2 linked regions of the Drosophila melanogaster genome follow. The gene in region 1 interacts genetically with each later gene. Each region holds a gene or a part of one and is shown on either strand. Other genes may lie near its edges.

Region 1 (6,076 bases):
TATGTCCGAGTTTCCATTGGATCCGCAGCTGGCCAAAATGCTGATTGCCAGCTGCCAACATAACTGCTCTAATGAAATACTTTCCATAACGGCCATGTTGTCGGGTGAGATAAAACACAAATCTAAGAAACTGTCTTCGATAAGTTGGGGGTCGCACTTATACTTTCATGGCTGTCACTTTTCGTTTTTCAAATACGTAAATACGACTTGTACCTAATTTCGATTTGTGCCGATGCATACTTTCATTTATTTCCGTTAAAGTGGCTGCCGTGAATACTTTCTACGTTATAAATTGAAAGTCTGAGGTTTCGGGGAAGTATATTCTATATTCTTGAAGGGATTTATGTAATTTCTTAAGCAACAATGCAAAGGAAAAAGTTTTTCAATTTATTTGTTCTTTGCATTCAACTCGAAAAGAAAAGTTGCACATGCGTTTAAAAGTCCAAGCCCATTATTTGAATGGATTGATGTGCAAAATATGCCCGAATAAATAGTGTTTTTATCTTTTAATGTTCCGCGAACGCACTTGCAACTCACAAATGCAATCAATCTTTGAATCAAGCCTCTAGATTGCCTAGCTGACAAAATGAAAGCACAATCTATTTGTTTATGTTAAAAATTGTTTTGAACTTGCGCTTAATCGAAACTAAACCAATTCAAACGTGCCAAAGTTCCACAATGCTTCGTTCGCCCCAACGAGGCGAAGAAAGCTGCCGATGAGGCCAAGATGCGATTCGCCCACATTGACGGAGACCACCTGACGTTGCTTAATGTCTATCACGCCTTTAAGCAGAGTAAGTAAACTAAACCAACCTATACTCGAAATGGAAACATAAAGACATATTTCTTTATTTCTTTCAGGCAGTGAGGATCCAAACTGGTGCTACGAGAACTTCATAAACTTCCGCTCGCTAAAGAGTGCGGATAACGTGCGCCAGCAGCTGGCTAGAATCATGGACCGCTTCAACTTGCGGCGCACGAGCACTGAATTCACCTCGAAGGACTACTATGTAAACATCCGAAAGGCCCTCGTGCAGGGCTTCTTCATGCAGGTGGCCCACCTGGAGCGCACTGGCTACTATCTGACCATCAAGGACAACCAGAACGTGCAGCTGCATCCGTCGACTTGTCTCGACCACAAGCCCGATTGGGTCATCTACAATGAGTTCGTGCTGACTACAAAGAACTACATTCGCACGGTGACAGATGTCAAACGTGAGTAGCAACTTCCGCATTTCAGGGTCATTTTTGTAAGCATTTCTTACATTTATAGCTGAATGGTTGTGCTGCCTGGCGCCCCAATATTATGACTTGAACAACTTCCCCCAGTGCGAGGCGAAACGACAGCTGGAGTTGTTGCAACAGCGGTTGGAGACCAAGCAGTACCAGAAGGGTTTCTAAGTCCCCCCAGAGTATGGCTAGTTGTAATATGATGGAGAATGGATCATGGATAAGAGTGTGTGAATTTTAGCAAGTTCTAAGAAAAATAACCCGTTTGCTTTTTATTGTTTGCTAACTTGATTCAAGCACATAGACACTTTAACAGATCAATAATATCCAAGAACTCCGTTTAGTTAATAGTGTTAATAAAAAACAAGCCACTTTTTGTATAACTTTAGCCATTGGTCCGTTGAAACTGAATGAGAATCACGAGATAGGTGGCTATGGCGGATGCAAACTGCAACCAGATAGCATTAGAATAATACATGGATATTATTTAAGTGTAGTCTAAATCCTTACCGATGTCAGAATGGTGCGGTTCACGCGGCACAATCCGCAGGCGGAGAAGTCAGCATCTACGACGAGTAACTGCTGCCAAAACTTCTTAACTGCCTCCGCGAGAATGGGCTCGTGCACTTTCCGCTCGATTTCGCAAACAATCTGGATCGTTTTACGGGACTCTCGGGCAGCCAAGTGGCACGGCTCCACCACCATGAGCAGTCGCAGGAAGTGAAAGCAAATCCAGAGCATCTGCACCCACAGGTAGCCGTTATCCCGCTTGCTGAGCAGTTCCAGAAAGAGGAAGTAGGCCGTAGCCACGAGGTGCAGCAGACAGGACACCAGGATGAAGAGAACCGCAATGCCGAAGGAGCTGTCAAGTGCGGGAAGGTAAGAAGCACGAAAACATGGGATGTGGAATAACTTTACTTGGACAGGAGGTGGACACATTTTCCCAGCGACTCGTGACTGTCCGCCAGGGATTTGAGGAGCAACCCCTTGTTCTTGGCTGGAAAATAACCCAATTTGAGTAACTCCACGTTGAGGATTAGACTGCGTGCGGCTGCCTTGTCACCTGCGGCTTCACTGGGCAAGGTTTCGCCGTTCAGCTTCGTCAGGCTCGCGTGGAGTGCCGATGGCATCGCTGGCCGATTTACGCTAACGTTCTTCACGGTGCTGACCTTTTGTGGCTTGATGGCACTGGTTGCATTGTTCTCTGTTGGGTGGTTTACAACTAATCAAAAATCCTGGAAATTTAAATTACCACTTACCTGCAAGAAAGCTGCTCGAAAGCATTCGGTTCAGACGGCCAAAGCGCCTTCCTAGTCCATAGGCCGTGTTGGCAATGTTAACCTGCAAGCCCGTGAGGATGAAGTAAAGACTATAGAATGGAATGTACCAGTGCACATTGAGCTCTGTCGAAGAGAAAATGAAAAGGTGGGGATTCAAAGATAGATTTCTTTCATTTTAAGATTTATTTGGCGGCTTATAAATGAATACATTAAAGCGCTAGCTACCCGTATCCGACTGAGCTATGTTCATATCCTGGGCAATGCGCATCCACGTCCCTACATCCAGGCCGACCAGAATCGAAATGGCCAGCAGAGAGACGGCAGCCATGCCCAAGGCTCGCCATCGATCTCTTCGAAAGTTATTGTAGGCATTTAGGGTATTATCGATCTGGGGTGTTTATTGGGTGATTATAACAAATAAAAGGAGGGTGGATCTATGATTGACGTGATCTCACCTTGTTTAGTCGATCGTTGAGCTCGAGAGTGTCGTTCAGGCTGAAAAGGCCACAGTAAACACCGGATACAATGGCCATGACCACCACAGACACGTCCAGGGCCGTCACCACCTTCGACGTAGCCGACTTCATTCTAAAAGATGCACTTTTGATTTGTTGGTTGGTTTTGTTTGCAGTTTGTCAGAGCAATTAATTGGTCAAGATCGAATGTGTTTAGAAGGGAGCAGAGGTGATGATTAGATAGAGAAAAATCGAGAAAAGTATACACACAATTAGGATCAAAGTAATGACACCCTCCGCAACAAAATCATATCCTTCTTGAGAGGAAAGTATTACTTATACATATTTGATAAGATATGGGTTCTAAAAGTGCAGGACTCCACTCCGAGTGTCACTACTTTAAAATCCTTGAATGGGACAAGCCCGTAGAGATTAGTAAAAAAAAAACGGCACAGAACTGGGACCTTACAAGTAGGAAACATAGATGTAGATACAAAAGTACCTACCGCACGGGAATTTCGGAGTTAGCATCGAACAGGAGACCCCGATAAGTGAGAAAAACTACGCAGATGCGGATAGCGTTTAGTCAGAAGGAAGTCACCCGCCTTTGGATGCTCAACTCACCCATAACCACCGTTAATGTGGCCGAGTATACAGTGAAGAGCCAGCTGCGACCAATTTCCACCCGGCCCTTGGAGTTCCGGACCGTAGCATATGGAGCCAGGGCCAGCACTTTGCTGATGTAGAAGATGCCGATGCTGGGCTGGGATATCTCCATAGTAATTCAGAACGCGGGACACTCGCAGTACGACCTCTGGACGAGAACTGTTCTCGAGTCGCCAAATACAGGACCTTAAATTGCAAAACGCCATATTCGACACCAAACAAATACTGCGCTCCCATATTTGACTATTATTAGTGGCCACCACCATCCACGCCCCACACCATGACCACATGGCCCTCGCAGACCGTCTGGGCAAACACCCCATGTGCGAGTGAGTAACACATTTGCTTATCAAAAAGCTCGGCTGTCCGCGATGTAAATAATAATTAGCGTGTGAAAATACCAAGCCGGAAAAAGGACACAGGAGCAGGAGCCAATTATTTTGGGGCCGACGTTGACAGCTGCGGCAGCTGCGACAGGTGCACCCGAGTGAATGAGGTCCACAGCCCAATTGTTACACAATTTCTCATTTATTGTTGCGACTCCACTCGGCGGTCCAGCCTAGTGGGGATCGCTATTAAGGAACAGTGGCAGATGCGCAATTAATCAAGTTAATTCTATCTGCCAGCCAGACTAGACGGAGTGTGCATTGAAGATCTCGATCCAGTAGCCGTCGGGGTCCTTGATGAAGGCCAGTCCCTTCATGCGGCCGTCGTCGGGCTTCTTCACGAAGTCCACGCCAAGCTCCTGGAAGCTGCGGGAAAGATTGCGTCTTTGAAAAAGAACAGGACTTTCCCATTGACATTACTTACCGCTGGCAGGCGGCGTACACGTCGGGCACCATGATTCCAATGTGTCCGAAACCACGTGGATCGGTGTTGCCGGTGTGGTAATTCTGATCCGGATCCCTCTCAGTGCCCCAGTTGCTACGGAAAAGAGCAGAAGATTAGTAGAATTATACGTATTTCCTTTATATAATCGAGGACCTCTAGTTTAGGTGTAAGTTTTGATTAAAAACTAAAGGCCAAATTAATATATATACAAGTACATAGTTCTCGAGTTATAGGTGGATCTATAATGTCTAAGGAAACGATTTAAGAAATGTAAAAATACAGCGTGCGGCAGTATAATTTCCTTTTTTAAAATGCGCGCCATTCAGTTAGTTCATATCATAGCGAAACGCTACTGGCCACGTTCAAGAGGGGCTACTGCAAAGTTTTGTCCCTACACGGTTCAGTCGCCAACATGCGTTGAAATAGTGAGGAGCGTGCCTTTGCCGATGAGGCCTACTTTTCAAGCGGATGTTCGGGTCTTTAAACGCAGCGTGCATTTCGGAATCGCTTTAATTTAGCCCCGTTGGCTCCCGTCCCAGACCGCAAATCGATTTTTACATGGGTCACTACATTCAGGCAAACTGCAAGTGCGACAAAACGAAGAACTGGAGTCCCCCGACCCAGTTAGATCACCTGAGAACATTGAAGCAGTGACAGGGTCAATATTGTGATCTCCGCGGCGTTCTGCGCGCAAACACGCATCTGCCCTTGGACTGACTATCCGATCGTTCTGTGAGCAGAATTTTGCATGATGATCTTCAATTTCATCCATATAAGATGGCGTAGTGCAGGAACTTTCAGAAGCCCATTTTCATTTATGTCGGTCGGTTTACAAACAAAAAAAATATGCGCTACTGGGCTGACAGCAACCCTCTATATTTGCATGAAAGGCCTTTGCTTTCACCAAAGGTCACAGTAAACACTTGGTTTCAACAAGAAGGTGCAACGGCATACACCATCGCATACAGCATCGATGGCTGTTTTGAGGGAACACTTTCAGAGCGCCTCATCCCAATTAAAGGTGATTTGGAATGGACGGCACGCTCTCCCGATCTGTCCCCTTTTCCCCAAACGCCAGAAATCGGTTTACGCAATGTATGGAGAATGGGAAACGTCACCTGTCATATTTCATCTTCAAAAAAATATAAATAAAATCTTTAGACATGTACCTAAATTATAAAAACAAATAAATATTTTCCGATGCCTACAATAGATTTTCATTGAGTTCTGAAAAAAAAAGGAAATTATGCTGCCGCATGCTGTAGTTGAAGCTATCATATCTACAAAAACGAGTTACGAAATGTAAAAATAGAATATCCATATGGAACTATCTTTTTTACACGCATGACAATTCTAAAATGCCTTTGAATGAAATTCCATCTGATTGCGGAGGAGTTTCTGTTGGAAGTGTTCCTTGTAGATGATATCTACATCCATATTAAGATTGGTATTGTACCGCCACTATGGACTATTCAAATAACCTTTTCCTAGAGTCATGACATTAGAAGGGCCTACTCAAATGGAACCTTGCGAATCGCATGCACAAACGGAAAACCACTTACTGGGTCAACTCAATGGTGGCCTTGCGGCTCAGCGCCCAGCTGCGTCGCTGCT
Region 2 (6,182 bases), on another chromosome or scaffold:
CTTGATGGTCTGCAGCTCCCGCTCGTGGAGCACTATGGTCTTCGATTGAGCTATGTTTTGGTTTTGCAGTGTCTGAAAGGGAATGAATATAGTATATTCTGAATGCAAAACATAATATGACTCACCTCGATTTCCTTTAGCAGCCGCTTGATGTGCTTGTTCTTGGAGTCGATGTTCTGCAGCAGCTGCTCCTGCTTGTCCAGCTCGGACAGGGGATCCGATGAATCCTTGTCGCTGATTTCCGCCTGCTGCGCCGCCTCCTGCAGGCGCAGCTCCAACTGACGGATTTCCTCCCCCAACTAGTGAGAAAAAAGCGTATCCTTGAGCTTGGGTACTTTACATGATCTACTGCTCACCTCCTTGGCTTTGCTCTTCAGGCCATCGCGTTCGTCCTCCAACTTCTGGAGCATTCGCTTCAGCTTCTCATTCTCATCCTGCAGGCGGCGGTCGGAGGAGAGTCCTCCGGCTGCTGATTCCTGCAGCTGCTGTACCTGCTCGCCCTTGTACTCCAAAACGGCCAGGGTGAGTTCCAGGGTTTTCCTCAGCGACTTCTTAGGCAGCTCATCGATGGACTCGGCCAGTTCGAGGAGCGTTTCGTAGAGCTCCTGCTTCTGGCGCGCCGAAAAGTCGCGGAACTTGCGCAGGGATACGGTCTCTGGTATGTCCATGCTCATCCTGGTGGCTCATGGCCTCGCTCCTCGGCGGTTACTCACGTTCTGCGTCCAAATATTCCCCGATTTTCCACACCAGCTCTCCAGTTTTTCCGGTTGCCATGACACTTGGCCCAAAACAAACTACGACTGAAAACCCATTCGGGGGTTGCTTTTCCGGAAACGAGGGTGCCGGCGCGCTCCTTTCAAGTGACCAACCTGCAGGACCTTTGTTTTTGCTGGCGTTCTGTTTTGCTAGCTGCTTCGGCTGCGTAGAAAGTTTCCTGACAGGATAATTGCCTCAACGGCGGCTATAGCGGCAAGGATCGGCGGTGGGAGCAGCCGGTGGCCCACCACAAACAAAAATGGCAATCGGTAACCAGGAAAGTGTTAATTGGCAAAGTGTCAAAGGCCGAGTTTTGAAATTGAAAAGCCATTTCTGTTCGAAGCGACTTTTCCGCCGCCTTCTCGTGTTTCTGTTAACTTTTCTTACACTCGAAAAAAAAATGGTATTTAGTTCAGAGCACACCAAGTGGCTTTTGAAAGGGTTTAGAAGTAAGCAGTAAAGATAAGATTATTATTATTTAGAACTTTAGCTTCCGAACATATTTTTCAGTGCACTCCAACTCCTTTCTCCTTTCAAAACTCATCGAGTTGCCTTCAAAATTACGTTTGCCTACATGTGTAGCAATAATTGAAACTAATGGCAAGCGACTTTGGTTGCCCTCCCATTTGTGGATTCGCCCTCGCTGAATGACAGCTGGCCAAAAATTGAAATTGAAATGACACTCGGAATGGCCAATTATCCTGGAAGCCTTTTGGCCATTTAATAACCGCCCGAGTCGGGTTGGCTGAACTCACACATGAGCTGCTAACTGACTTTTCCTCGCAGGAATCTACCCTTTTTCAAATCTGATTATCTGACTATTTTATTATACATTCAGTTAAGTTAAACTGGACTAAAGTTCACTCATTTAGTTACGCGCACCGCAGTCCCTTGTGGCTCTTAGCATCTATTTGCAGCAGCATAAGTTCGTAGGTCACCAGGGTGGCTAGCATCTGGAGAGGATGGCTGGGATCAGTATGGGAATCGTGAAGACTCGTGAAGTTTACCCACTCCGAAGAGACTCTTTCTTGTCAAGCAGAAGAGACGATATCCAGACAATCCGACAAACTCGCTGGTCAGCTGGTCGGCAAATCTCTGCACCTCCTGCGTCCAGCCATCGCTGGGCACCAAGTACAAGGACCTCAGGGGCAGAAGCGAGGCATCGTGGATCTTGGAGGCAGTCATGAAAACCAGACTCGTCCTGGCCAGCAGGAAGATCAGCGAGTACCAGAAGTAAACGTAGTTTATGGGATGCCGCAGTTTGCTAAAAAGATTTGAAATGAGACTAGGGGGTAGCTACAAACAGATGACTCACGTGAAAATAGCCAACGCCTGGTTGCAGATCACATACACATTGTTAGCGCAGGATACGAACACTATATTCGACATGCTGGCCTCCACCAAACTGGCCAGCTCGCAAAGGCGAATGTGATCCCTCCGAATGTCGTACCACAAGGCTTCGGGAACATGCTAAATGGGATGGGGATTTAAAAGAGAAATACATTGAAATAGTTTGGATTATTTTACACGACCCTCCAGTGCGCCAACTCGAGCGGCAAACTGTTGAAACCTTTGCGCCAGTCCAATACTGGTCATCACAATAAAGATGTCCATGAAGTTCCACAGAAAGGTGAAGGCTCCATTTAGCCACTAAAAAAGAGAGCATTATTCAAACTAACTAACTAAAATATATATAGTTAACTTACAAATCCATAGCACATGGAAAATATATTGAATGGCATGATGAACATGATGTCGGAGAACTCCTTCTCCAAATAAAGTCCAAAGGTAATACGCGAGTGGTTTGTGTGGCACTGCAGGATGTGCATGCTATAGCTGCAGTAGCCAGAGGCGTAGTACAGCATGTGGTCGCCTGAAAGAAAGTTCTTCTGGAAACCATTGAAAGGATAACCCAGAAATCTCACCTACTGCCAGGACGACCACACTCAGAGCAAGGACGTTGACCTTTGACCGAAGGCTTCGCTTGCCACGTTTGTAGGGCGGAAAGAGCATCAGAATGTCCACCGAACTCCAGGGCAGCATTATGTGCGACCAGGAGCGAGCAAAGCCCACGAAGTTTAGCCAGTTGACCATGCCCACGATAAGGAAAACCAAACCCACTATTGAGCTTTCAGTTGGGATCACACTACCATACCATCTAAAACTCACCGATATTCTTGGCATTCAGACCCTCTGTGAAGAGAATATTGGCACCGACCAAGGTCTTCATGCCACCGAGCAAAAGGAAGAGACCGGTGACTGCCAGGCCAATGCTCCTTACCTTGAACTTCACATCCTGGGGATCGCGACTCCGGATATTCGACAAAGGCATAATGCCGAAGAACTGCGCCACACACAGATCTATTGTCCATTGTAATATGTTTAGACACATATGAAAGTGGTTTGGAAAAGTGGTCTTACATGGCCTGATGGCTCCGTAGAAGGTGTCCAGCTGCTCGAACTCCAATCCTCCCTGGGCACAGCGCCATCTCATGGCCAAAATGGCCCTCTGCTTCTGGCGCCGCACTTTCAGGTGCTTCCGGATGTCATCCGAAGTCCTCGACATGCTCCTCAGCTCTGACCGTCAGCAATTCCACTATCCGGGTTCTTGTCTCATGATTGTTGTTTACAAGCTGCAGCTTAGTCTAAAACCCGTAATTAGTGGCACTTGGGGCACACAATGCCATTCGGCGTCCAAAACGGCGGTCATAACTCCGCCCATGGAAATCGTTTTTCCATTTCGTGCCAGTGCAAAATGTATCTTCACCATGGAAGGACCCACGGAGCTACTATTTATAATTTACTAAAGGCATCCTTAAGCAATACATGTTTGAAGTACTGAACAACTCATCAATTTTTAAATATATTTTAAAACATCGATTAATCGAAATATTTAATGCTTACAAATGAACTCTGGCAACGCTGAATGTAAGCTAAAAGGTAAACAAATAATAGTTGTTTAACATTCTATGGATAGTGAGTTCCTGGAGCTGACGCAGCTGCTGCCCCGCTGGGTGGATCTGGAAAATGTGGTCCGTGGTGAAGTCGAGGCGCGCTACATACTCAAAAGAGCCGCGGATCACCTGGCGAACTTGAGGTCTGGCGGAGATTCCGGGGCGGAGGAAACCGGATATCTGGTAGGTGCGCTGGTGGACAGGAACTGGGAACGCATTCACACAGGGCACTTCAGCCAGGTTCCCTTGGTCACGAGGAAGATATACGCCATAGCCTGTTGCTTCAAGGTGGGATTTAGATGCTAACTAAGCCATACAAACTACAAATATACATTTTAGATTTTTTTCCTTCTCTTGGAGAGCACTAGTCCCGCCCAGAAGGATGCGTGCAGTGAGATCCTCGATGAGGCTCAACTTTTGGGTTGCATGGAGGATTGGAGTGAACTGAAAGTCGCCCTAATGGATTATCTCGACAAGGATGGAGCAGTAGCACTGAATTCCGCACCACTTCCAACTCTAGAGCCATTAACCCGAGTAACCTCCAACTGTGATATACCCCAACTGGACGCTCCCAGTCTAGAAGAGTTCCAGACAAAGTGCTTTGAGGCAGGACAACCCACACTCCTGCTCAACACCATCCAGCATTGGCCTGCACTGCACAAATGGCTGGATCTCAATTACCTTCTCCAAGTGGCCGGGAATCGCACGGTGCCCATTGAAATAGGTTCCAACTATGCCAGCGATGAATGGTCCCAGCAGCTGGTGAAGATCCGCGACTTCCTGAGCAGACAATTCGGAAAGGAACCAAGCAAGGCTGGCCAAAATATCGAGTATCTCGCTCAGCACGAGCTCTTCGCCCAGATACCAGCCCTCAAAGAGGATATATCCATTCCCGACTACTGCACCATCAGCAACGAAGATACCCCAGGAGCTGTGGACATCAAAGCCTGGCTGGGACCAGCTGGAACCGTATCTCCCATGCACTACGATCCCAAGCACAACTTGCTGTGCCAGGTATTCGGTTCGAAGAGGATCATCCTAGCTGCTCCTGCAGACACAGACAATCTGTATCCCCACGACAGTGAGTTTTTGGCCAATACAGCGCGAATAGATGCTGCTCAACTGGATCCTGAAACATATCCCTTGGTAGCCAAGGTGAAGTTCTACCAGCTGCTCCTGCAACCTGGTGACTGTTTGTACATGCCACCCAAATGGTGGCACTATGTGAGATCTGAAGCTCCTAGCTTCTCTGTAAGCTTCTGGTGGGAGTAAGCATTTTAATGCAGTTTATTGAACAGCAAATTTATGTAGGATGATCTCTGTTCAAGTTAAGATTAAAGTATGCACTGCAAAACCACGATAGATCACTAAATATGCGAATTTGATTAGCATTTCTGGGTAATTATCAAGGAAACATATTCGATGCCCTTTTCGCACACCGATAATGTAACGCCTCCGATTTCTAAGCTCCAAGTATGCAAACAGGTTGCGACGTCTGACGTCATTGCCGTGTACTATCAGACATGATGTGGACTATCCGCGCCAACAGATGAATCATCGAATCGATCACAACTGGATGGGTACTTTTTGGTTGTTCTTTTAATAGCCACGACGCTTTTTGGGTGTGTTACTGTGGCAAACAAAACTTAACACATACGAATTAAATACAAAACTTCGGACGAAACGAACATTGAGTTGAGGGACCATTATCAATATACCCCATTATCATTATCAAATGGTATATGTAGTTGTATCTATGAGGATTAACAATAAGATGTGTGTGCTTTCTATCGATTTGAAATCGTTATAATCTTTTAAATGTGCCTGCTTTCGCTGCCCCACCGCCATGCTTATAAGTCTTATCGTTATTTAAATGTTGGACTTGGCTCCAGTGAGTTTAATCATCCTTGTTTCCGCCTCCGCCGATGGTTATCTTCTTCTGCAGCTTGCTGTACTCCTCGGTGAGTCGGTCGTACTCGCGGTTGATGCTCTCCGCCTGCGACTTAACCGCCTCCTTGTCCTTCTTTTCGCGATTCAAGTCGGAGGTTAGCTCCTGGACGCGCTCGCGCAGCTTGTTGAGCTGCAAAATTCGGATTTCGTTTGAGTTTCGATTGGATTTTTGTTCGTTTTGGGTGTTTGGGAATGGATATAAGGTGGGTGCTCTAGGTGGGGATACTTAGGACACTCGGGCGGTGAGTCCTTGCACACGTCTCCGCAGTCTTGACAGCTGTTTAAAGAGTTAACAAGAGGTTTAAACTTTCGAGTGGTGGCTTCTGTTTATCGTGGCCCAACATATGTGTTTGGGTGTGGTTTCAAAACGTTTAGCTGCGGTCAAAACAAAAGCACTAAGCCTATGACAAATTCACTCGGTCTTCAAACTGATTTAAGTTTACGTTTAAGATTTTAATCATGATATATACTGGTATTTAAAGTTCTATATCGTTAATAGACTACATTTAAAGCCTTTTCGTA

What was found. Genes that interact genetically often act in the same process or in processes that back each other up.
Region 2: of Gr43a (region 1) and Gr61a, changing one enhances a phenotype caused by changing the other (phenotypic enhancement), as found in Drosophila melanogaster (one study listed by BioGRID).

The regions. Positions count from the first base shown.
Region 1 is NT_033778.4:7,389,407-7,395,482, forward strand, and holds Gr43a (gustatory receptor 43a), read right to left. Parts: upstream 3,756-6,076; 5' UTR 3,744-3,755; coding exon 3,590-3,743; intron 3,527-3,589; coding exon 3,472-3,526; intron 3,111-3,471; coding exon 2,966-3,110; intron 2,899-2,965; coding exon 2,736-2,898; intron 2,634-2,735; coding exon 2,490-2,633; intron 2,435-2,489; coding exon 2,149-2,434; intron 2,093-2,148; coding exon 1,741-2,092; intron 1,679-1,740; coding exon 1,616-1,678; 3' UTR 1,463-1,615; downstream 1-1,462. Other genes in the region: Dhx15 (DEAH-box helicase 15), read left to right, coding at 1-104, 672-794, 862-1,215, 1,274-1,401; Glo1 (glyoxalase 1), read right to left, coding at 4,263-4,383, 4,442-4,555, 6,025-6,076. UniProt on the Drosophila melanogaster protein: Gustatory receptor which mediates acceptance or avoidance behavior, depending on its substrates. Gr43a is the main sugar receptor in larvae. Functions as a narrowly tuned fructose receptor in taste neurons but also as a fructose receptor in the brain.
Region 2 is NT_037436.4:838,858-845,039, reverse strand, and holds Gr61a (gustatory receptor 61a), read right to left. Parts: upstream 3,590-6,182; 5' UTR 3,323-3,589; coding exon 3,178-3,322; intron 3,118-3,177; coding exon 2,926-3,117; intron 2,877-2,925; coding exon 2,682-2,876; intron 2,630-2,681; coding exon 2,463-2,629; intron 2,407-2,462; coding exon 2,284-2,406; intron 2,227-2,283; coding exon 2,072-2,226; intron 2,021-2,071; coding exon 1,768-2,020; intron 1,710-1,767; coding exon 1,629-1,709; 3' UTR 1,339-1,628; downstream 1-1,338. Other genes in the region: Cep290 (centrosomal protein 290kDa), read right to left, coding at 1-72, 126-299, 357-674; JMJD5 (jumonji domain containing 5), read left to right, coding at 3,726-3,998, 4,050-4,982; CG13887 (uncharacterized protein), read right to left, coding at 5,608-5,790. UniProt on the Drosophila melanogaster protein: One of the few identified sugar gustatory receptors identified so far with glucose being its primary ligand and which mediates acceptance behavior.